Linked DNA regions of Macaca fascicularis. The protein of the gene in region 1 purifies or fractionates together with the protein of each later gene. This does not show direct contact. Links are inferred from orthologs where the notes say so. Each region holds a gene or a part of one and is shown on either strand. Other genes may lie near its edges. The genes, in order: SIRT7 and UBTF.

Region 1 (10,223 bases):
TTCCCCGCCCTTCTCTCTTCCCTGCAAAGCACAACCTGTACCCCAGGGGCGCCGGGCTGAGCCCCTTTGATCTCGTCATTGTCGTCGTGTGTTTTGTATGTTGGGATTGGTCAGTTCGGCGGTGACGTGGGGTCGCGCCAACCCCTTTTGTACCAGGGCCATGCAGTCTTGGAGTCCAGAGTTGGTGCTGTGGGAATGGACTTGAGAGAGTTGCGGGAGAGAGAAGGAGAAGGCACGCTGGGCCTCACGTGTCCCCGAGCAGTGAGGGTTCCAGTGTGCCCTCCACTCCCGAGTGGCCACAGGCTTGTGGGCTGGGAAGGATTCACTCTCTTTAGCCCCAGGAGGGCAGCTCAGCTTAGCCCAGCACAAAGAGATGGGCTCTGCTCTGAGAGTAGGGCTGCCTTGAAGGCCCTGATGGGTGGACCACCAGCCTGGGCACAGTGGTGCTGGGGGCGTGCAGTTGGGGCCAAGGGCTGTGCGCTCAGGCCTGACCCGTTGCACTGAACAAGACCAAATCGCTGGCTGTGCACTTACGTGAGGGTGAGTCCAGTGTGCCCTGCGATGGGTCCCGTGTCACTGTTTACATGACCTATTTGTGTGGTTATATAGCCCTTTATTTAAAAGAGAGAAGTTCCTTTTACAAAGTTATTAAATTAATTATATGTTTAAAAGTTAAAGAAAAAAAGAGCTGCAGAGTATTTATAAAACTGTCTTTTAGAAAAAAAAAAAACAAGCAAGAAGACCATTTGACCATATAAATGGAAAAGGGAAGAAAGTATAATAGAAACTTTGCTAGTTAAAAAAAAAAGAAAAAAAAAATCCCTTTCTTGTAAACTTACGGACAACTCTTTGTGGCTGTTGGAGTTTAGTTTTTATATACACAGAGTTATCAGACATTATTTATAAAACTTAGTTTAAAAAAAGACAAAAAAAAAAAAGCCAAGCCGTGAGCCGACCAGAAGGCCGTCCTCTTTGATATCTTTTGCAATTGTACCGAAAGTGACTTACTCCTCTGCCCTTCCTGCTTCCGTCTCTTGCCGGTGCCGTGGTGTCGTCCGTGCCTGGTGAGGTTTTGTGCAGCGGTAAAGTGCTGGTGCTTCTGGTGACCTTCGACCTGTGGGTGTCACTTCTTGTGTCAGTTTTCCTGTGTTCGTTTTTTGGGTTTCGTTGTGCTTTTGCTTCTGCTGGCTTGCCGGACCTGGGCTGGGGTGCCAGGTGGCACCTGCTGCGTCAGAGCTCAACGAGTCTGTGCCCTCCACCTGCTCCTGGTCCCTAGGAGGTGAGACGTGGGGTTCTGTCACACTCCCCCCCGACTGAGCCTTGGCTACATCTGTGTCTAGGGCTTGGGCTGATCTGGTGGCCGGGTAGCTGAAACTGGGGGCCCCTTGGGGCCCCCCCACACTGCTCTACACCCACCACCTCTGGCCTTGGGTGGTGGTGGTGCAGGGACCAAGGAGTCACTGTGGGTGGCCACAGGGCTGTGGCCAAGCGTTCCCTGGCTGTCTTCCTCAGGCCTCAGTTTTGTTCCGATAGGCTTCATGTGGGGCCTCAGCCGGGGAACCCCTGGGGCCCGCACCGTGGGCTGCAGGTTTCGCCGCCTACTTGATCCCTGAGGTCTTTCCATGCTGCGGGTGGTGCTTCCAGGCAGAGTGGTTGGGGGCCCACCGGGCAACCCTTTCTTCCTTGTCCCTGCCTCACTCAGAGTCTTGGGAGCGTCCACCAGTGCAGACAAGGGCTACAGTCTCCAGGGCCGGTCTTGTCCCTCTTCTCCGCTGGTCCACGCTGGCAGCTCTTGGCTTTGGGCCTGCCTTCTGCCTCCCTTTGGGATCTGTCTTCCAGGGATCAGCTGCTTGGCTTCTGCTGGAGGTGCCTCCCTCTGGGGGCCCAACCTGCCTCCTGCTCCCAGTTCCTCACCAGAGGCTGCTGCCCTTCCTGGCTGGGCTCAGGAGGCTCCTTATAGGCATATGACGGGGAAGGGGTGCCCCCACCCACCTCCAAGAGGCTGCAGCCCCGTGTCTGGCCATGTGAGCCTTGGCCTTTCACCAGGGCTGCTGGTTTCTTCTCTGTGGGGCCCAGACTGCTGTAAAGCACACAAATGGGGGCTGGTAAGATGAAAAACTGGCCTGACGGGGCTTAACCCTGTGGGTGGTGGGATTTTGATCTAAGAGTTTGGCCTGGTGTGCCCATGAGATGGGAACAGGGATGTACCATCAACCCTTGTCATCTTCATGAGCTTTTCTTTGCTTTGAGCATTCAGAGACAAGTCCTGTTGCTACCTGGGTCAGCCTGAAAATGGAAATTCTGGCTGTTGATTCATGTCATTTAGTGACTTCATCCCCCTCCCCTCAGTCTGATCTTGTCTAAGTAGAATCCAGGCGTTAGTTGGAATCATAAGTATCCATAAAGAAAACGTCATGCTCTGCCTTGGAGCAGGGATAAACAGGCGCTCCCTGTCCTTGTGCGGCCCCCACTTTTGTCCTGGCTGCGGGTGGCCCTCCATTTTGAGCACCTCTGCCAGGCTGCAGACCTGGAGGCAAAGGGAGTGCGGAAGAGGAGGGTGTAAGGGTCGGCGCGTGTGAATGGGAGGTGCAGGTGCTGAATGGGAGGTGCAGGTGCTGAGTGGGAGGTGCAGGTGCTGAATGGGAGGTGCAGGTGCTGAGTGGGAGGTGCAGGTCCTCGGTGCGTTGGCAGAAGAGGCTTCTGGAGTTTCGAGGCCATACCTCCTTTCAAGAGCTTTGGATTTGGAGCGACTTCCCTGGGTCTAGGGGAGTGTTCCTGTCCCCTGTCAGGCCAGCCCTGTGGAGCCACTCTGCCCCTCTTCCCCTTCCCCTGGATTTCCTGACGTAGATGCTGTGTTCATGTGCAGATGTGAATGTGCTGTCCTTCTGATCTCTGTTAATCCCGCTTTCCTACTGAGAGGGTGGTGGTCTCTTCTCACCTCAGTTTTTCTGACACAGCGAATCGAGGGCTTTGGCCAAGGCCAGGTCTCTCAAACTTGTCCGCCAAGTAAACCGTGATATATGTCTTCCCTTCCACCTTGACTTTGCCCCAACTCCTCCTTTATCCTAACATGGACACTCAGATTTCAGAGGACTACCCAGCAGGGACAAGTCACCTCTCACCTGGAGAGTGAGGCCCCTGGCTGCTGCTCTGGGTGGCGCTGGTGTTGCTGGGGCTTCAGCTCTTGGTGCACGTTTCAGATAAGCATGCACACTTCTGACCGGTGGTCAGGGCCCGGCCCACGGCTCTGAGCGGCTGCAGCCTGCTTTGGGACGATGGTCAGGTCCCATGTTGTCCCTGCTGCCTCCCTCTGGAGTGGCCACTTGGCCAAAGCTCCCATCCACATCTGGAAAGTCTGAGCTGCGGCCTGCTGCACCGTTTCCGCTCTGGGATCTTGTGAGTTACTTTTTTAGGCTGTGGTTTGGTGAAAGGAACCAACACATTAACGATTTTTCCCCCCAGAAGCCACTGAATAATTCTTTTTGGTGTATTTTTGCCTTCCTGTTGGCTGTCTGGCCTTGGAGCAGGTCGGGAGAGTGAAGTACATAATCAGTGCCACACAGAGGCAGGGCATGTCTGAGACTGATGCCTGTCCTGCCTCTGGCCTGTGTCCTGGGTGTGTGCCGTACCTGCTGGGCCAGTCCCACACATTTCCACCCTGCCCCTGGAGCAGCAGCTTTGATACCATGGGTGTCCCTTGAGTCTGAGCTAGAGTGTGTCCCTGATAAACTGTGAGACCTCCCTGTTCTTGGTGACCCCAGTTGGGCTTTGACCCCTCCAGCAACCTTGTGTCCCATCCCTGCCCTTCCTCCCACCCCCTCAATCTGCTAGTCCCTGAAGCCTTTAACCAAACGGGAGTGGGCACAGAAAGCCTTCTCCTGGCAACAGGACAAGGGCTGCCCGCGTGTCCAGCCCTGTTGCTCTCCTGGCACTGAGAGGTGGATCCAAGCAGAGTTGATCAGTCCCCCTGCCAGCCCTGCCTAGGTCTAGCCAGGGGAGGTTGTGTGTGTGTGGGAGAAGACCCCGGGATGTGCTGGGGTGGGATGGAGGTTATTAAAGATCTAAGTGAGGAGGGGCTGGGGTTTGGATGCGGGGTGAGGCCCGAGCGCTCACACTTCGTGTAGGGCTGGCAGGGGCCTGACCTCGGGCAGGGCAGTGGCCTTGGTGCCCCACCCCTGCCCTGCGCAGTATTTATTGCTAAATTATTGTCCAGGAGGGGCAGCACTGGGCCTGGCCCCCCGGGTATTTATTGCTGTACATAGTGTATGTTTGTGATATATAAGGTTTTCTTTATTTTGTATATGATCAATAAACCTTTTAAAGAGACTGGCAGGTGCTTCTTTGGGGCGACGCGGCGGGCGGAGCCGGAAGAGGTGGGTGGGGGCGGGACCCGTCTTGCGCATGCGCCCTGAGCGCGGCCTGCCGTGTGAGGCGGAAGCGGAAGAGCGGGTCTCCAGGGGAGCGATGGCAGCCGGGGGTCTGAGCCGCTCGGAACGCAAAGCTGCGGAGCGGGTCCGAAGGTTGCGGGAGGAGCAGCAGAGGGAGCGCCTCCGCCAGGTACGCCGCCGTCGCTCCCCGGTCCGGCTATGCCCGGCCCGCGCCGCCGCTCACCGCCCGCCTGCCCGCAGGTGTCGCGCATCCTGAGAAAGGCGGCGGCGGAGCGCAGCGCCGAGGAGGGCCGGCTGCTGGCCGAGAGCGCGGACCTGGTAACGGAGCTGCAGGGCCGGAGCCGGCGGCGCGAGGGCCTGAAGCGGCGGCAGGAGGAGGCGAGTTCCGCGGGCGGCGGCCGCGGGCGCCCCCGGTTTCGGGAGCAGCCGGGGCGACGGGCGGTCCCGGGTGGGGCGGCCCGGGGCGGTGACCACCCTGGCGTCTTGGCAGGTGTGCGACGACCCGGAGGAGCTGCGAGGGAAGGTCCGGGAGCTGGCCAGCGCCGTCCGGAACGCCAAATACTTGGTCGTCTACACAGGCGCGGGAATCAGCACGGTAGGGAGGGAGGCGGGGGCGGACCCCAGGACGGAGTACGCGCTCCTGTAATCGCGAAAAACTCGCCTTTAAAGCAGCTTTAAGGTTTTTTCCCTTTCTTAGAGAAACACGAAATGACCAAAACTTACCTAAGGTAAACGCTTTTTAAACGCTTAGTTTGTGGTACAGCCAGTTAAAAACAGGCAAGGAGCAGAGATACGAATGGGCTGTAGTAGCTGACTGCTCGCAGTCACCCCCAGGTTATGTGGACAGAGCTAAGCCCAAAGCTGTCGTGATTCTCCACTGTGTTCTCTCCATGTTGAGGGAAGATAAGTAGAAAGTGACACAGTAAGAGCCGGAATACACCAGGTGAAGAAGAGAATTGCATTGTGTTTTGAGAAGTTTCACTGACAAGTTATCCTGGGCTGTGGGACATCACTAGCTTTGAAAGTGTAGCTGGCACGTCGTCCATCTAGTCCGATGGGTGAGTGTGGAGTGCTGGGCATGCGTAGGCGTAGCAGATCTGAAGGCCAGGTGATTTCTGTTCTCAGGAAGCCTTTAGGTGACAATCAGGTATGTGAACAAATAAGCATAATGTAAAGCTGGCTGTGCTGAATCACTAGAACAAACCCAGGCACACACTATGTGCTCTTGGAGTTGGGAAACCTACCTGGGTTGGCTTTTTGTGGGAGGTAGCCTTGATTGGGCCTTGAAGGATGGGTGAGATTTACAGGAGAAGGTGGGAATGAGGCACTCCAAGCAAAGAAGAGCAGAGGCTTAGCAGGAAGAATGCATAAAGGGAGTGCACTGCTGACTCAAATACCTGGAGCCCTGGCGTTTGGTCTCCTCCCTCCACAAGTCACATGTAAAAGTCCAGTCACGCTGGGCGCGGTGGCTCTTGCCTGTAATCCCAGCACTTTGGGAGGCTGAGGTGGGCAGATCATGAGGTCAGTAGTTCAAGAACAGCCTGGCCAACATGGTGAAACCCTGTCTCTACTGAAAATACAAAAATTAGCCGGGTGTGGTGGCAGGCACCTGCAATCCCAGCTACTCAGGAGGCTGAGGCAGGAGAATCACTTGAAACTGGAAGGCGGAGGTTGCAGTGAGCCTAGATCGTGCCACTGTACTCCAGCCTGGGCGACAGAGCGAAACTCTGTCTCAGAAAAAAAAAAAAGTCCAGTCATGTAATTATGTAACAGTCATGTGATCTCTTATGGAGCTTGCAATGGCAACTAGAAGCACATGCAGCTTGTGGATTTCATCTGAGTGTAACTGAGGTTTCTATCTTGAATGTGACTGTCCAAACCACTGCCGGGGGATGGTGCATTTTTCTGAGTTTAAGCAGGAGTCAGGAGTCCCCAAAAGGGAACAGAAGGCACCTTGATATCTTCTGTGCCCTCTCTGGCCTCAGTTTGTTTCACAGGATTGAAATCCTGGAAAGTTAGATGCTTATCTCATCTGGAGAAGTTGTTCTGCCTTTTTTTGTTTGTTTGCTTGTTTGTTTGTTTTGAGACGGAGTCTGGCTCTGTCGCCCAGGCTGGAATGCAGTGGCGCGATCTCGGCTCACTGCAAGCTCTGCCTCCCGGGTTCACGCCATTCTCCTGCCTCAGCCTCCCAAGTAGCTGGGAATACAGGTGCCCGCCACCACGCCTGGCTAATTTTTTGTGTTTTTAGTACAGACGGGGTTTCACCATGTTAGCCAGGATGGTCTCGATCTCCTGACCTTGTGATCCACCCACCTGGGCCTCCCACAGTGCTGGGATTACAGGCATAAGCCACCGCGCCCCGCCTATTCTGCCTTTGTTAAGGTGGAGCGGGAACAGTCAGCACTGGGACGTGAGAATAGACAGTTGCCTGCCCCCACCTAGGGATTCACCTTTTTTTTTTTTTTGAGACGGAGTCTCGTGCTGTTGCCCAGGCTGGAGTGCAGTGGCTGGATCTCAGCTCACTGCAAACTCCGCCTTCCGGGTTTGCGCCATTCTCCTGCCTCAGCCTCCCGAGTAGCTGGGACTACAGGCGCCCGCCACCTCTCCCGGCTATTTTTTTTGTATTTTTTAGTAGAGACGGGGTTTCACTGTGTTAGCCAGGATGGTCTCGATCTCCTGACCTCGTGATCTGCCCGTCTCCGCCTCCCAAAGTGCTGGGATTACAGGCTTGAGCCACCGCGCCCAGCAGGGATTCACCTTTTGCTAAATGTGTGAGCCGTGGGCTCGGCCCTGGGGGCACTTAGGAACATGACTAGTCTTCCCCTGCGGTGTGGAGGACACATGTGCCACAGAGCCCAGCTTTGTGCTCGGTGCCAGAGAGGCTTCCGGGGACAGGCAGGGCTGCGTGCAGCCTGGAAGGATGAGCCAGGCCAGGCGGGAAACAGAAGTCCAGGTAGAAGGGAGGAGCCGAATTGGGGTGCACTTCATATGGGCTCAGGCAGGTCAGCCTGTGGAATGAACAGATGCCAACATGCAGGCCGGCCTGGAATGTGGCAGGAGTGACAATGGCTTCCCATTTCTGGGAATTCTGCCAGTGCCTACGGTGGTGCCTTTTTACTTGGCTTACTTTTTTTCTCGACATGCAGGCAGCATCTATCCCAGACTACAGGGGCCCTAATGGAGTGTGGACACTGCTTCAGAAAGGGAGAAGCGTGAGGTAAGTGGGACAGGCGCGGCCTCCCATATAGGCTGAGCAGAGGCAGCATGGGCCTGAGCTCCGGCTGTCCTCACCTTGCCTTCCTTTCTGCCTGGCAGTGCCGCTGACCTGAGTGAGGCCGAGCCAACCCTCACCCACATGAGCATCACCCGTTTGCATGAGCAGAAGCTGGTAAGAACCCTGGGTGGCTGGTACACTTGCCTGGGACCAGGCAGAGCACCTTGGTGCGCAGTGGGCAACTGCATTCTCCCTCCGTCTGCCAGTTGACTCCCATCATGAGCACCCACCAAGTGGGTTAGGCCCCAGATTTGATCCTCCCATGCTTCCTCTCCAGGACAAAAGGGGAGCACCCCCTCTGGAACCATCCCATCCACAGCCAGCCTCAGCCCCAGAGCTGCTGGTGGTCTTTCCCCTTTGTGATTCCATTGCATTTTTCTGTGGACCTCAGAAGCCATCCTAGTTACAGGGGAGGCTTATAGGACATCTCTGGGGACCTTCTGCTGAACACCCTCAACCAAGGGGTGTAGGGGTTGACCTGCCTAGGTCCCGAGGCACCTGAAATGTCATGACCCAAGAGAGCATGGATCCGGGGTGGAGTGGCCCTTGCCAAAGCCCTGAGCCACTTCCCATCCTTGCCTTGACGGTGCAGCGTCTTGCCCTCCCAGCCACTCCAGGTGCATCAGGGCTGGAGGAGGGACATAGCCCCTCCCCACCACAGGCCCTCTTGAGTCCTGGTGGTTGGACCTGTTGTGTGTTTTACTTTCTAAGGCTCTCTGCGGGGTTGGAGCTACCCCTGGTCTTGGGAGCCACTGGCTGGGCTCATAACAGCCTCGCTGTGGCTGAGTACTGACCTCGCCGTCGCCACCCGTCTGCCTTCCAGGTGCAGCATGTGGTGTCTCAGAACTGTGACGGGCTCCACCTGAGAAGTGGGCTGCCGCGCACGGCCATCTCAGAGCTCCACGGGAACATGTACATTGAAGTGAGCAGTCCTGCGGTGACCCGGGGTCTCCATGGGCAGGCGGGTCCCACTCACTGTGCCCTCTTGCCTCCAGGTCTGCACCTCCTGCATTCCCAACAGGGAGTACGTGCGAGTGTTCGATGTGACGGAACGCACCGCCCTCCACAGACACCAGACAGGCCGGACCTGCCACAAGTGTGGGACCCAGCTCCGGGACACCATTGTGCACTTTGGAGAGAGGGGGACGTTGGGGCAGCCTCTGAACTGGGAAGCAGCGACTGAGGCTGCCAGCAGAGCAGACACCATCCTGTGTCTAGGGTCCAGCCTGAAGGTACGTGCTGATGATACCAGGAATGAGCCGAGCCCCCGCCTGCCCGAGGGTGTCCAGCTCTGTTGCCCAGCACTTTACAGACTTGTCCCCTGTGTGTGTGCTGTGTCTGTCTGTCTGTTTCCGCAGGTTCTAAAGAAGTACCCACGCCTCTGGTGCATGACCAAGCCCCCTAGCCGGCGGCCGAAACTCTACATTGTGAACTTGCAGGTAACTTGGGTTCTGAGAGTCACATCCTTAGACCTGGGTCTTAGAATGCAGAGCTGGAGACACCCCACACCCATGCACCAGGGCAGTCTGATAGGGCCCCCGTGGGTGCTCAGGGAGCACTGACCGAGCCCACGGGCCGAGGCTGACAGGCCACCAGGAATGGTCGGGCTGCTCTTACTCTCACTTGGCTTTCCCTGTCCTCAGTGGACCCCAAAGGATGACTGGGCTGCCCTGAAGCTACACGGGAAGTGTGATGATGTCATGCGGCTCCTCATGGCCGAGCTGGGCTTGGAGATCCCCGCCTATAGCAGGTGAGTAGACCATTGCAGCAGCCCGCTTCCCTGCACCTCTGTGTGCTGGGCCGTGTCTGTCTTCTCTCGTGAGCTGAGCGTGGAGGAAGCTCTGAGGTGTTTGCAGCGGTGTCTGAGGCATGACTGAAGCGTGGTGGTCTCCAGAGGGCCTGACCTCAGTGGTTCGCGGAGACCCTGCGTGTGCCACTCCTGCCCTGGCTGATGTGGCACACACAGTCCCCGCGGGGAGAGGGATTCTGCCCACGTGCTCCTGCTCCAGGCCTCCCCGTGGAGCTCTTCAAGATGCCTGGTGGGAAGCATCTCGAGGGGACGAGCACTTGGCAGCTCTGGTCAGACAGAATCTGTGTGCTTGGTTTTGGGAGTTGGCGTACTTTGGGAAAGCTTAAACAGACTGTGCCTTAATACAGAATTTGTGATAATTTAGACTTGGTGTATGTATTGAGTAAAAAGTTTACACTCTCTTTCTCTGTGAATTTTCAGGGTCTTATAGGGGAAATCAATAACTTCTTTTAATCAAAGGGTTCAAGAAATTAAGGATCCCTTCACCTTCTGGGCCTGGCACTTCTTGTATGTTATGTGTGTGGTGTTCTGTGATGTGAGCTATCGTGTACTGTATTTTTTTTTTTTACATTAATTTAGCTCATTTTCCTTATCAGTGCGTATCTGTATCTTAAGTTATGATCTGTGGTTCTGCATCTCAGTCAGACACATGCTTTCTTCACGGTGTCGTCTGTAGGCCACGCCTCCCTAGTCAGCTGGGAAGGGGGAGAGGGTCTGGTCCACCTGCCCCTGGCGGTACAAATGGAAGGTG
Region 2 (9,478 bases), about 23 Mb from region 1:
TCTCAGCCTTCCTGAGTGGGAACTTGTATGTCTTCCAAAGGGTGAGGTGGCTTTGACCCCGGGTTGCCCGGCCAGCACGACCGAGGAGGTGGCTGGACAGCTGGAGGATGAACGGAGAAGCCGACTGCCCCACAGACCTGGAAATGGCCGCCCCCAAAGGCCAAGGTAGGGGCATCCACTCCCAGCCCTCTGAAACTTAAACCCTCTTTGCCTCGTGGCTGTGGGGCACACTGCCTTCTTCAAGGGCTTTTCCAGTCTGCATACACTGAATTGGGGGAGAAAGTGCCTTGAGTACTTATGAATCAAGCATCTCCCACACTTGATTGGTTTGGCTGAATCCAAATTTTTTGGCCTGGAGTGGCTTACCTCCCCTCTCTCCCTGTCCCTCACACCCTATGTTAGAGGAGGCCTGCCTTCTGGGGTTTGCATTCAGCCTTAAGTGTGTCCCAGCCCAGTGTCCTGGAATGGGAGGAATGATGACTGTAGAGGGAAGGCTTCTCAGGCTTTTTAGGAAGACCATGAGGCTTTTGTAGAGGCAGGTGGAGAAGAGGGCTGTTGTGGTGGTTTGAGGCCCCAAGCCATGGGATATATGTACTCAACTAGATCTCTGCCTCATTCAGCAGTGATCCAGTTTGGATGGGGGTGGAGGGTAGGATGGAGCTGGGCAGCTGGCCATGCTTGTGGGACATTGAGGGGAGAGGGGATTATGGGTCCTTGTGGCCCATTCTGCAGAATCCCTGGCCTAGGTTACGAGATGCAAATGAAAATGGAGAGCCCTTTTGACTTCTGGCCTTGGGTGACTATTCTCCCAGCCCATCCACAGAGGCCTAGAGCTCTCTGGGGCTGCATTTCAGTGGCTGAAAATAACTGGTCCAGACCTGGTCTTGCTTCCCTGGGGAGTTGGGCTGACAAGACAGCTTGTAATTCTGGGGGTTCTCCCTGGATCAGGGCCCTGAGAGCTTTTGTGCACCTGCCTACTTTGCCTCAGAGTTGCCCTGTATCCTGCTTCTGTTTCTGTTTCTTTTTTCTTATTTGCCAGAAATTCTCCCTTGATCTGCCTTGAGGGGCCAGGGGATAGTGGGTATCTCTAACATCAGTCTCCAGCTGTGCAGGAGAAACATGTGCATGAATTTTCCCTACTGCCCACACCCCATCCTCAGTCCTTGCACATTTAGAATATCCACTCAGAACTTGAACTTGGCAGCACATTTAGATACAATGCCTCCTTGCTTCCCTCCTCTGACAAGCTATCTCATTTCCCACAAAGTCCTGAATCACTGTACCTTCATTTCCACCCCTCTTCCCCTTATAGCAAATAGCTGCCTGTTGCAGCTTGGCACAGTAGAAATGATAATAGCTTTGAAGCAAGCCAGACTTGAGTTTGAGCCTGGCTTTCTAGGTATAGCATGGTCTGGACTGGAGTCCCTGCCCTCATCCAGTATGGCCACAGTTTCCTTAGGGCTGAGCCATATCTTGTCTCTGCCTTCAGATGGGAAGCAATCAGGGGCTGGGATGCCCTAGGGAGGAAGAGTTGAGCACTCAAGAACTGGGGAACAGATTTGGGGGATAGCATGAGCCAGGCATGATGGCCTCTGTTACCCTTCACCAGACCGTTGGTCCCAGGAAGACATGCTGACTTTGCTGGAATGCATGAAGAACAACCTTCCATCCAATGACAGCTCCAAATTCAAAACCACCGAATCACATATGGACTGGGAAAAAGTTGCATTTAAGGACTTTTCTGGAGACATGTGCAAGCTCAAATGGGTGGAGATTTCTAACGAGGTAACTGATCCCCCCTTTCTGACACACGCACATACATATACAAACATTACCCCCTCCTCAGCCGTGGTAGGGGAAGTGAAACAGGCTGTAAACAGGAAGGAAAGACACCAGGAGAGGCGTTCATGTGGTCGCACGTTAGCTCTCTACCTGCCCCTTTGCATTTTGGGAGGTGGCACGGTTGACAGCACTGGCTTAAAGTTATGCCACTTTCTATCTGGGTGGTCTTGAGCCGAACAGCCTGAGCTGTGCTGAGATTGACAGAGGTGCTAACATGCTGAGATTGAAGGAGGTGCTGGCATGGACAACCAGGTTGAGGTCAGGTAGTCCCTTTGTTGCTGGCCTTTGGTGTGTACTGACTGCCTGGGCCTCTGTGGTAGGCATGGGCCAGTGCCTGGGTGTCAGGGTGCCTGCTTCATTTGGCTGTTGGCCTCTGCTCTTCTTTGGTAAATTTAGTCTGCTTCATTTGGCTGTTGGCCTCTGCTCTTCTTTGGTAAATTTAGTCTAGTAAAGAGTAGAAGAGACCCATTATAAGATGGGGGTATGCTACTGTGTGGCATTTTCCTTTTCCCAACTTCCCCTTCCTCCCGCCCCTCTTCTTCCAGGTGAGGAAGTTCCGTACATTGACAGAATTGATCCTCGATGCTCAGGAACATGTTAAAAATCCTTACAAAGGCAAAAAACTGAAGGTGAGTTACTAGAAGGAGGAGCATGAGGGGTAGGGGAGGAAAGATCCAAAGAACGGATGGTATTTGACCTCCATTGTGTCCTTGTTCCTTGTCCCTTCTTCCAGAAACACCCAGACTTCCCAAAGAAGCCCCTGACCCCTTATTTCCGCTTCTTCATGGAGAAGCGGGCCAAGTATGCGAAACTCCACCCTGAGATGAGCAACCTGGACCTAACCAAGATTCTGTCCAAGAAATACAAGGAGCTTCCGGAGAAGAAGAAGGTGGGGGGAGGAGAGTTAAGGTGGGAGGAGGGGAGAGGCTGGGAGCAGCTGGTGTGGTGTGGGTCGGTTGGAGGTAGGCCTTGGAGAGACCTGGCATCAGGGACGAGGGTGAGTCAGCACAGCAGAGTAGGTCCTGGGCAGGCACACCTGATCGCCCCTTCCTCGGCCCACACATGTTCAGGCACAGGCACCACCACAGATGCTCAGACAGCAGATGCTCAGACCAACCTTTCCCCCTACAGAAAACCCACAGCATTCTGTTTCATCAGGCTCTCTCCCCCATACACCCATCCTCACTGTTAGGCTGCGCAGCACTTCTTCACTCTCTATGACGTTTCCCGTCATGGTCTCATCTGATACTTGCGATGTCTTCATGAAGGTAACCCCAGGAAAAGGTTATCCCAGTTTTGTGGGCAAGGAACTGAGGTGCAGGAGGGTTAAGTGTCCTAGGTGACACAACTATTGATACTAGAGCAGGATTTAGTGCCCCAGAGTCCCAGTCCAGTGCTGTTACTGCCATGTCCACCTGTGAAGTGCACTTCCTTCTCCACACACACATGTTCACTCAAGGACACACATTGTCCCTCCTGGCCTCATACTGTTCCTTGCAGAGGTCGGGCACTGTCCCAGACCATCAAAGCATTAACCCTGGTTGGAGGGTTGCCCAAGCCTCCCAGGCAGGACTGCAGCACAGAGCTCAGAAGGTCCCTCCCAGAGAAAGGCAGCAAAACATTGGAGGAGCCCTGCAGATGGGACATGAGGAAGATGGGATGGGGACAGGGGACACAAGAGACACTGGACAAGGAGACAGAGCCAGGGATAGATGGGGAAGGGCAGCGGGAAAGACAAGGAGCACATCTGCTTGGAGAGGAAACAAAGCCACACACAGCCAGTTCTCAAAAGGTGGCACCAGCCGCCGCTATGCTATTAGTAGCCCTTTTTCCTGGTTGGCATGCCCTGGCTGCAGACTGACATGCCCTTGGTGCTGTACCCAAAAAAGCCAGCTGTCTGCAACCACTGCCCAAGCAGAGCAGGGGTATGGATTGCTGGAACTGTTGTTGACTCTTTTGATAAGGATGTTGGACAGTTGACTGCACACACCCAGACACTCATGGGATGGGAGGGAGAGGCCAAGCTCTAGAGTCAGAGTCAGGGAAGGCCAGAATAAACTGGTAGAGTGGATGAGGTGCTGTCCTGGGGGGCACAAGACTTGGGCCTGTTCTCCTGGCTCTGCCACTGAATCGCTGTGTATGGGGCCTTTGGTAAGTCATTTTACTTCTCTGGGCCTGGTCCTTATGTGAGGTGAGCCAGGTCTGTGTGGTGTTCTCCAGCTCTAAAACTGTTTTGTCTGAGGAGGACTGAGATTGGAGAAGAGGAGGCTGAGCTCTGCTTCTGGTTTTCTGTGGGAACTATGGGAGAGGAGCGCTGCCTCTCTCTGTCTGGTGCTTCTATAAGAGGCGGGTTGGGCTCAATTGCCATGAGCTCCTGGCACCTGCCAGTGCCACTCTTGTGAGCCTGCGAGGATGAAAGAAGAGATGGACATTGCGTGGCAGCCAAGAGAGGAGGTTGATGAAGAGAAAGAGACACATTGGAAAGGAGGAACAAGAGGGAGACTTTGCAGAAGTGGGGAAAGATGCAGGGAGGGAGTGAGGTGAGGGTGGGAAGGCAGTGGGGAGGCCAAAAAGGGGGTGATGAAGGGAAGGGAAGCCAAGTGGTGGGAGAGAATGAGTGGGCTGAGGGAGGGAGGGCTGGAGGGGACAGACAGCTGGGATCCTAGAGAAAGGGAAGAAGGTAATGGTGTCAGAAATAGGCGGGAAGGTGCAGGGCAGCTGGCTGTGACTTGTATTGGAAGAACTTACTCTGGGTTCCCCTCCACACAATCTCCCTTCATGCCTTGGAAATAGGACTCAGCCCAGCCCTGGCCCTATGTAGAGGCCACCTCCAAGGGGCCAGACTAATGTCAGCTGCCTCAGACAGTGAGAAGAGGGAGCAAGGCCTGCACCCGACTCCACTGTGAGAGTTCTGTGGTATTGGAGAAACGAGTGGGGGAGCCTCAGCGCTGCCACCACGCACTGTGTGACTGTGGGTAATGCCATGGCCCCCTTCTGGGACTCTCGCTCAGAAGGAGAGAATAGGATATAGGATTCAGTGTCTGGGCAGCCCCTGCAGCTCCCACCATCTGTGGTAGAAGCCAGCAGGTCTGCTCTGTGGTGAGTCCCGCCGGGAGGCGGGCAGGGCACCAGCCTCCACTCCCTGCATCACAGCGTGGGAGGCAGAAGAGCCAGCGAGGAGGGGCCTGGGTAGCCTTCATAGCTCAGGGCAAGATACCCTTGGGTCCTGGGTGACCCTATCCCCTCCTCCCCCCAGATGAAATATATTCAGGACTTCCAGAGAGAGAAACAGGAGTTCGAGCGAAACCTGGCCCGATTCAGGTAAGGCAGTGGAGCCCAGAGGAGGGCTATGGGGAACTGGGGGCAGCAGAATAGGCTAACCCTGGCCAGAGCCTGGAGTTTGCCATCTCTGAGGCATGGAAGAGGATGGGTCACATGTGAGCCCTAGTGTGTCATGCTCAGGGGCAGGGACAGGCAGGCAGCCACTGTCCCACTAAGCCCCAGCTGAAAGGCCCAGGAGGCTTGGTGGGTGGGGCAGCTAGCTTGGGTCTGCCCTGACAGCGTCCCCTGCTGATCCTTGCTCCCCATGTCCTGGCTAGGGAGGATCACCCCGACCTAATCCAGAATGCCAAGAAATCGGACATCCCAGAGAAGCCCAAAACCCCCCAGCAGCTGTGGTACACCCACGAGAAGAAGGTGTATCTCAAAGTGCGGCCAGATGTGAGTGTCCGGCCAAGGGCTGGGGATGGAGGATGCACGGCGGTGGCCAGGGGGGAGCCGCACCAGGTCGGCCGGGCACGGTGCAGGGGAGCAGGAGAGGAGGCCCCTCCCCAGGGGTGGGCTGCATGGACAGGGCCCGGGCCAGCTGGCGTGCGAGCGTGTGCGTGCGTGCGTGTATGAGCCAGTCCCCTTGCACCTAGGCGGGATTGCCGCCTCTCCGCCTTCCCCTCCTGGCCTGTGGGGGACACTGATGTGACCTCCCATGGCCTGAGGGGGCGGGGGCATCTGTGCCCCCTTCCCCCCTCCCCCTCCCCCTGCCCCTGGCTGCCTGTGCGTGTCTGACGGCTTTTGGTTTGCAGGCCACTACGAAGGAGGTGAAGGACTCCCTGGGGAAGCAGTGGTCTCAGCTCTCGGACAAAAAGAGGCTGAAATGGATTCATAAGGCCCTGGAGCAGCGGAAGGAGTACGAGGTTAGGCTTCCGCTGCGCTCCTCCCTGTCCGGCTCTTCACGAGCCTCTGCCCTCTGACTCCGTGGCCACCGCACTCTGCGGGAGGTGTCACTCCCCATCCTCTGTTGAGGGAGGGGCCTTCTGGGCCCCTCACCTCTGCCCCTACCTTCCCCACCCCCCACCCCTATGAGATCTCAGGCTAGGGCAGGGCAGGGCACCATGTCTCATGTGACACCATTGACGCGCAGCCATTCCCAGCTTTGCTCCCTGCCTGCCCTCCCCAGCGGCTCTCCCCGTGCCCCTGCCGCAGCTAACCCCACACCCCATTGCCCTCCATCCCCCCACCTGGCTCTGCAGGAGATCATGAGAGACTATATCCAGAAGCACCCAGAGCTGAACATCAGTGAGGAGGGTATCACCAAGTCCACCCTCACCAAAGCTGAACGCCAGCTCAAGGACAAGTTTGATGGGCGACCCACTAAGCCACCTCCGTGAGTGCTGCCCTGGGGTGGGTGGGCGAGTGGGCAGCTGGGAAGTTGGGCTGGGCTCTACGGGTGAGGCGGCCTGCTGTCCTGCTTGCTCACGGGCTGCGCCTCTCTCCCCATGGCTCTGATAGGAACAGCTACTCGCTGTACTGCGCAGAGCTCATGGCCAACATGAAGGACGTGCCCAGCACGGAGCGCATGGTGCTGTGCAGCCAGCAGTGGAAGCTGCTGTCCCAGAAGGAGAAGGACGCCTATCACAAGAAGTGTGACCAGGTGAGCTGTGGCAGGGGCCACCCTGCCTTGGGGTTTTGAAGCATGAGGTCTGATCCCATCTTGGGCTAGTCAGTCCCTGGTGGCGTGTGCCTTGGGTACTTGCCTCCAATTCGGTGTGGGGCTGGGCTGGGCTTAGCAACTGAGCCCATCCAGGCAGGGAGTCCAGCCCACACCCAGGCTCTGGAGGCCCACTGAAGGTCACTGTCCTCTGAGTACTGCAGGGTCTGTGGTGACACTGTCACCAGAATGATCCTGACTCCACTCACTTTCCCAGAAAAAGAAAGATTACGAGGTGGAGCTGCTCCGTTTCCTGGAGGTAAGTGTTCCTCCGGTAGGGCAGTGGGCAGAGAGGACTGGGGCTTGGCAGGCAGAGCCCTCGTGAGCCCTGTGCCCCTCTTTCCTCTCCAGAGCCTGCCTGAGGAGGAGCAGCAGCGGGTCCTGGGGGAGGAGAAGATGCTGAACATCAACAAGAAGCAGGCCACCAGCCCCGCCTCCAAGAAGCCAGCCCAGGAAGGGGGCAAGGTGGGCAGAGGGTGCGGCCGCGCAGGCGGGGGTGGGCAAGACTGGGCTCCCTGGCAGCACCACGGACCCCGACCCTCTGCACCTGGACAGGGCGGCTCCGAGAAGCCCAAGCGGCCCGTGTCGGCCATGTTCATCTTCTCGGAGGAGAAGCGGCGGCAGCTGCAGGAGGAGCGGCCTGAGCTCTCCGAGAGCGAGCTGACCCGCCTGCTGGCCCGAATGTGGAACGACCTGTCTGAGAAGAAGAAGGTCAGGCTGCCTGGCGGAGCGCCGTGCCCTCAGCGGGGCTGCCAGGGCCCCCTCCTCCCCTTGGCGGGCCGCGCCACCTCGCCCCTGGCCGCCTCAGCCAGCCTGAGCCACGCGGTGCCTGGGCTGGGACGTGGGGCCGGCGCCCAGCAGCCGGAAGGCGGGAAGCTGTCAGCTGAGCGCTGCGGGCCAGGCGGGGGCGAGCCCCAGGCGGGAGACATCTGCACCAGCCCACGCCTCTGCCTGCTGGCGGGTGCGCCTGAGCTGCTGCGCGGGGAGCGCGCGCCCCCTGGGGGTGGGTGGAAGGCTGACGCCCGGGCCATCCCCGCAGGCCAAGTACAAGGCCCGGGAGGCGGCGCTCAAGGCTCAGTCAGAGAGGAAGCCCGGCGGGGAGCGCGAGGAAAGGGGCAAGCTGCCCGAGTCCCCCAAGAGAGCTGAGGAGATCTGGCAACAGAGTGTCATCGGCGACTACCTGGCCCGCTTCAAGGTGACGGGTGGGAAGAGGTAGTACTGCAGCCTCCAGCCCCGGGTGACCCCTCCCAGGGCTGATACCCTTGTTGGTCCTCAGAATGACCGGGTGAAGGCCTTGAAAGCCATGGAAATGACCTGGAATAACATGGAAAAGAAGGAGAAACTGATGTGGATTAAGAAGGCAGCCGAAGACCAAAAGCGATACGAGGTAGGAATGGGGCTGGGGCCACCCCATTTGTTGAAAGCTCGAGCACTCCCCTTTGGGTGAGCCTCTCTGAGCAAGAAGGCCCAGTCTTGGTCTGTGACCCTCAGCAAGCCTCAGCTTCCTTCTCTGAACCCCTGTCTCTCATCAGTAAGGTGGGGGTGACATTGCTAGCCTCCAGGCTGACTCGGGGGACACGAGCAGTTGTGAAAGCACTTGTAAACTGTGGTGCCTGCTACAGATGTGAGCTGTTAGGAGGTTGCTCACTAGCTCTACCTGTTTTTCCTCCCCAGCACAGAAAAAGGCAGCCAGCTAAGGTGCTGATGGCATGGGGCAGAAGGCAACAGTATTTTGGGGGTGGGACTGGGGGGTGAATGTGACCTTTCTCCTTCCAGAGAGAGCTGAGTGAGATGCGGGCACCTCCAGCTGCTACAAATTCTTCTAAGAAGATGAAATTCCAGGGAGAACCCAAGAAGCCTCCCATGTGAGCCTGGGGGCTGGAGCCTGCCCTGGAGGTGGGGGAGGGTCAGGGCTGGAGGGCTGCTTTGTTGGGGTCCTGACCCTCCTTGTACCACCCCCACCTTCCAGGAACGGTTACCAGAAGTTCTCCCAGGAGCTGCTGTCCAATGGGGAGCTGAACCACCTGCCGCTGAAGGAGCGCATGGTGGAAATAGGCAGCCGCTGGCAGCGCATCTCCCAGAGCCAGAAGGAGCACTACAAAAAGCTGGCCGAGGAGCAGCAAAAGCAGTACAAGGTGCATCTGGACCTCTGGGTCAAGGTGAGAGAGCAAGGGGCCCTTGAAAGGAACAGGGAGGCATCAGACTAAGCCAGCACCAGCCCAGCCTGGCCCACCCACCCACTTGTGCTGGCTGGTCTCATTCATGATTTCATTCCATGCCCTCGCAATCCTGCAGGATAACGGTTACTATCACCCTTTTGTTTTTATATTTTGAGACAGAGTCTTGCTCTCTTGCACAGGCTGGAGTACAGTGGTGTGATCTCGGCTCACTGCAACCTCCACCTCCCAGGTTCAAGCGATCCTCCTTCCACAGCTCCAGAGTAGCTGGGGCTACAGACAGGCACCACACCACCACACCTAGCTAATTTTTGTATTTTTAGTAGAGATGGGGTTTCACCGTATGTTGGGCAGGCTGGTCTTGAACTCCTGACCTCATGTGATCCGCCTACCTTGGCCTCCCAAAGCACTAGGATTACAGGCTTGAGCCACCGTCCCCAGCCACTATCACCCTTTTAAAAATAAGGAAACCAAG

What was found.
Region 2: the proteins of SIRT7 (region 1) and UBTF purify together in Homo sapiens (affinity purification with western blotting; 3 studies listed by BioGRID, with this or other methods). This does not show direct contact. The link is inferred for Macaca fascicularis from reciprocal best matches to the Homo sapiens genes SIRT7 and UBTF.

Annotation. Positions count from the first base shown.
Region 1 is NC_088390.1:88,292,886-88,303,108, reverse strand, and holds the start of SIRT7 (NAD-dependent protein deacetylase sirtuin-7), read left to right. Parts: upstream 1-4,428; 5' UTR 4,429-4,464; coding exon 4,465-4,557; intron 4,558-4,628; coding exon 4,629-4,766; intron 4,767-4,878; coding exon 4,879-4,983; exon of another isoform or gene 4,984-5,827; intron 5,828-6,730; exon of another isoform or gene 6,731-7,411; coding exon of another isoform or gene 7,412-7,534; coding exon 7,535-7,605; intron 7,606-7,703; coding exon 7,704-7,776; intron 7,777-8,485; coding exon 8,486-8,584; intron 8,585-8,657; coding exon 8,658-8,894; intron 8,895-9,020; coding exon 9,021-9,101; intron 9,102-9,305; coding exon 9,306-9,412; intron 9,413-9,892; exon of another isoform or gene 9,893-9,979; intron 9,980-10,223. UniProt on the Homo sapiens protein: NAD-dependent protein-lysine deacylase that can act both as a deacetylase or deacylase (desuccinylase, depropionylase, deglutarylase and dedecanoylase), depending on the context. Specifically mediates deacetylation of histone H3 at 'Lys-18' (H3K18Ac).
Region 2 is NC_088390.1:65,266,792-65,276,269, reverse strand, and holds part of UBTF (nucleolar transcription factor 1), read left to right. Parts: intron 1-40; 5' UTR 41-107; coding exon 108-165; intron 166-1,609; coding exon 1,610-1,785; intron 1,786-2,387; coding exon 2,388-2,471; intron 2,472-2,575; coding exon 2,576-2,731; intron 2,732-5,098; coding exon 5,099-5,163; intron 5,164-5,441; coding exon 5,442-5,562; intron 5,563-5,921; coding exon 5,922-6,032; intron 6,033-6,368; coding exon 6,369-6,502; intron 6,503-6,627; coding exon 6,628-6,769; intron 6,770-7,043; coding exon 7,044-7,085; intron 7,086-7,177; coding exon 7,178-7,291; intron 7,292-7,381; coding exon 7,382-7,537; intron 7,538-7,865; coding exon 7,866-8,021; intron 8,022-8,102; coding exon 8,103-8,213; intron 8,214-8,602; coding exon 8,603-8,691; intron 8,692-8,795; coding exon 8,796-8,985; intron 8,986-9,478. UniProt on the Homo sapiens protein: Recognizes the ribosomal RNA gene promoter and activates transcription mediated by RNA polymerase I (Pol I) through cooperative interactions with the transcription factor SL1/TIF-IB complex.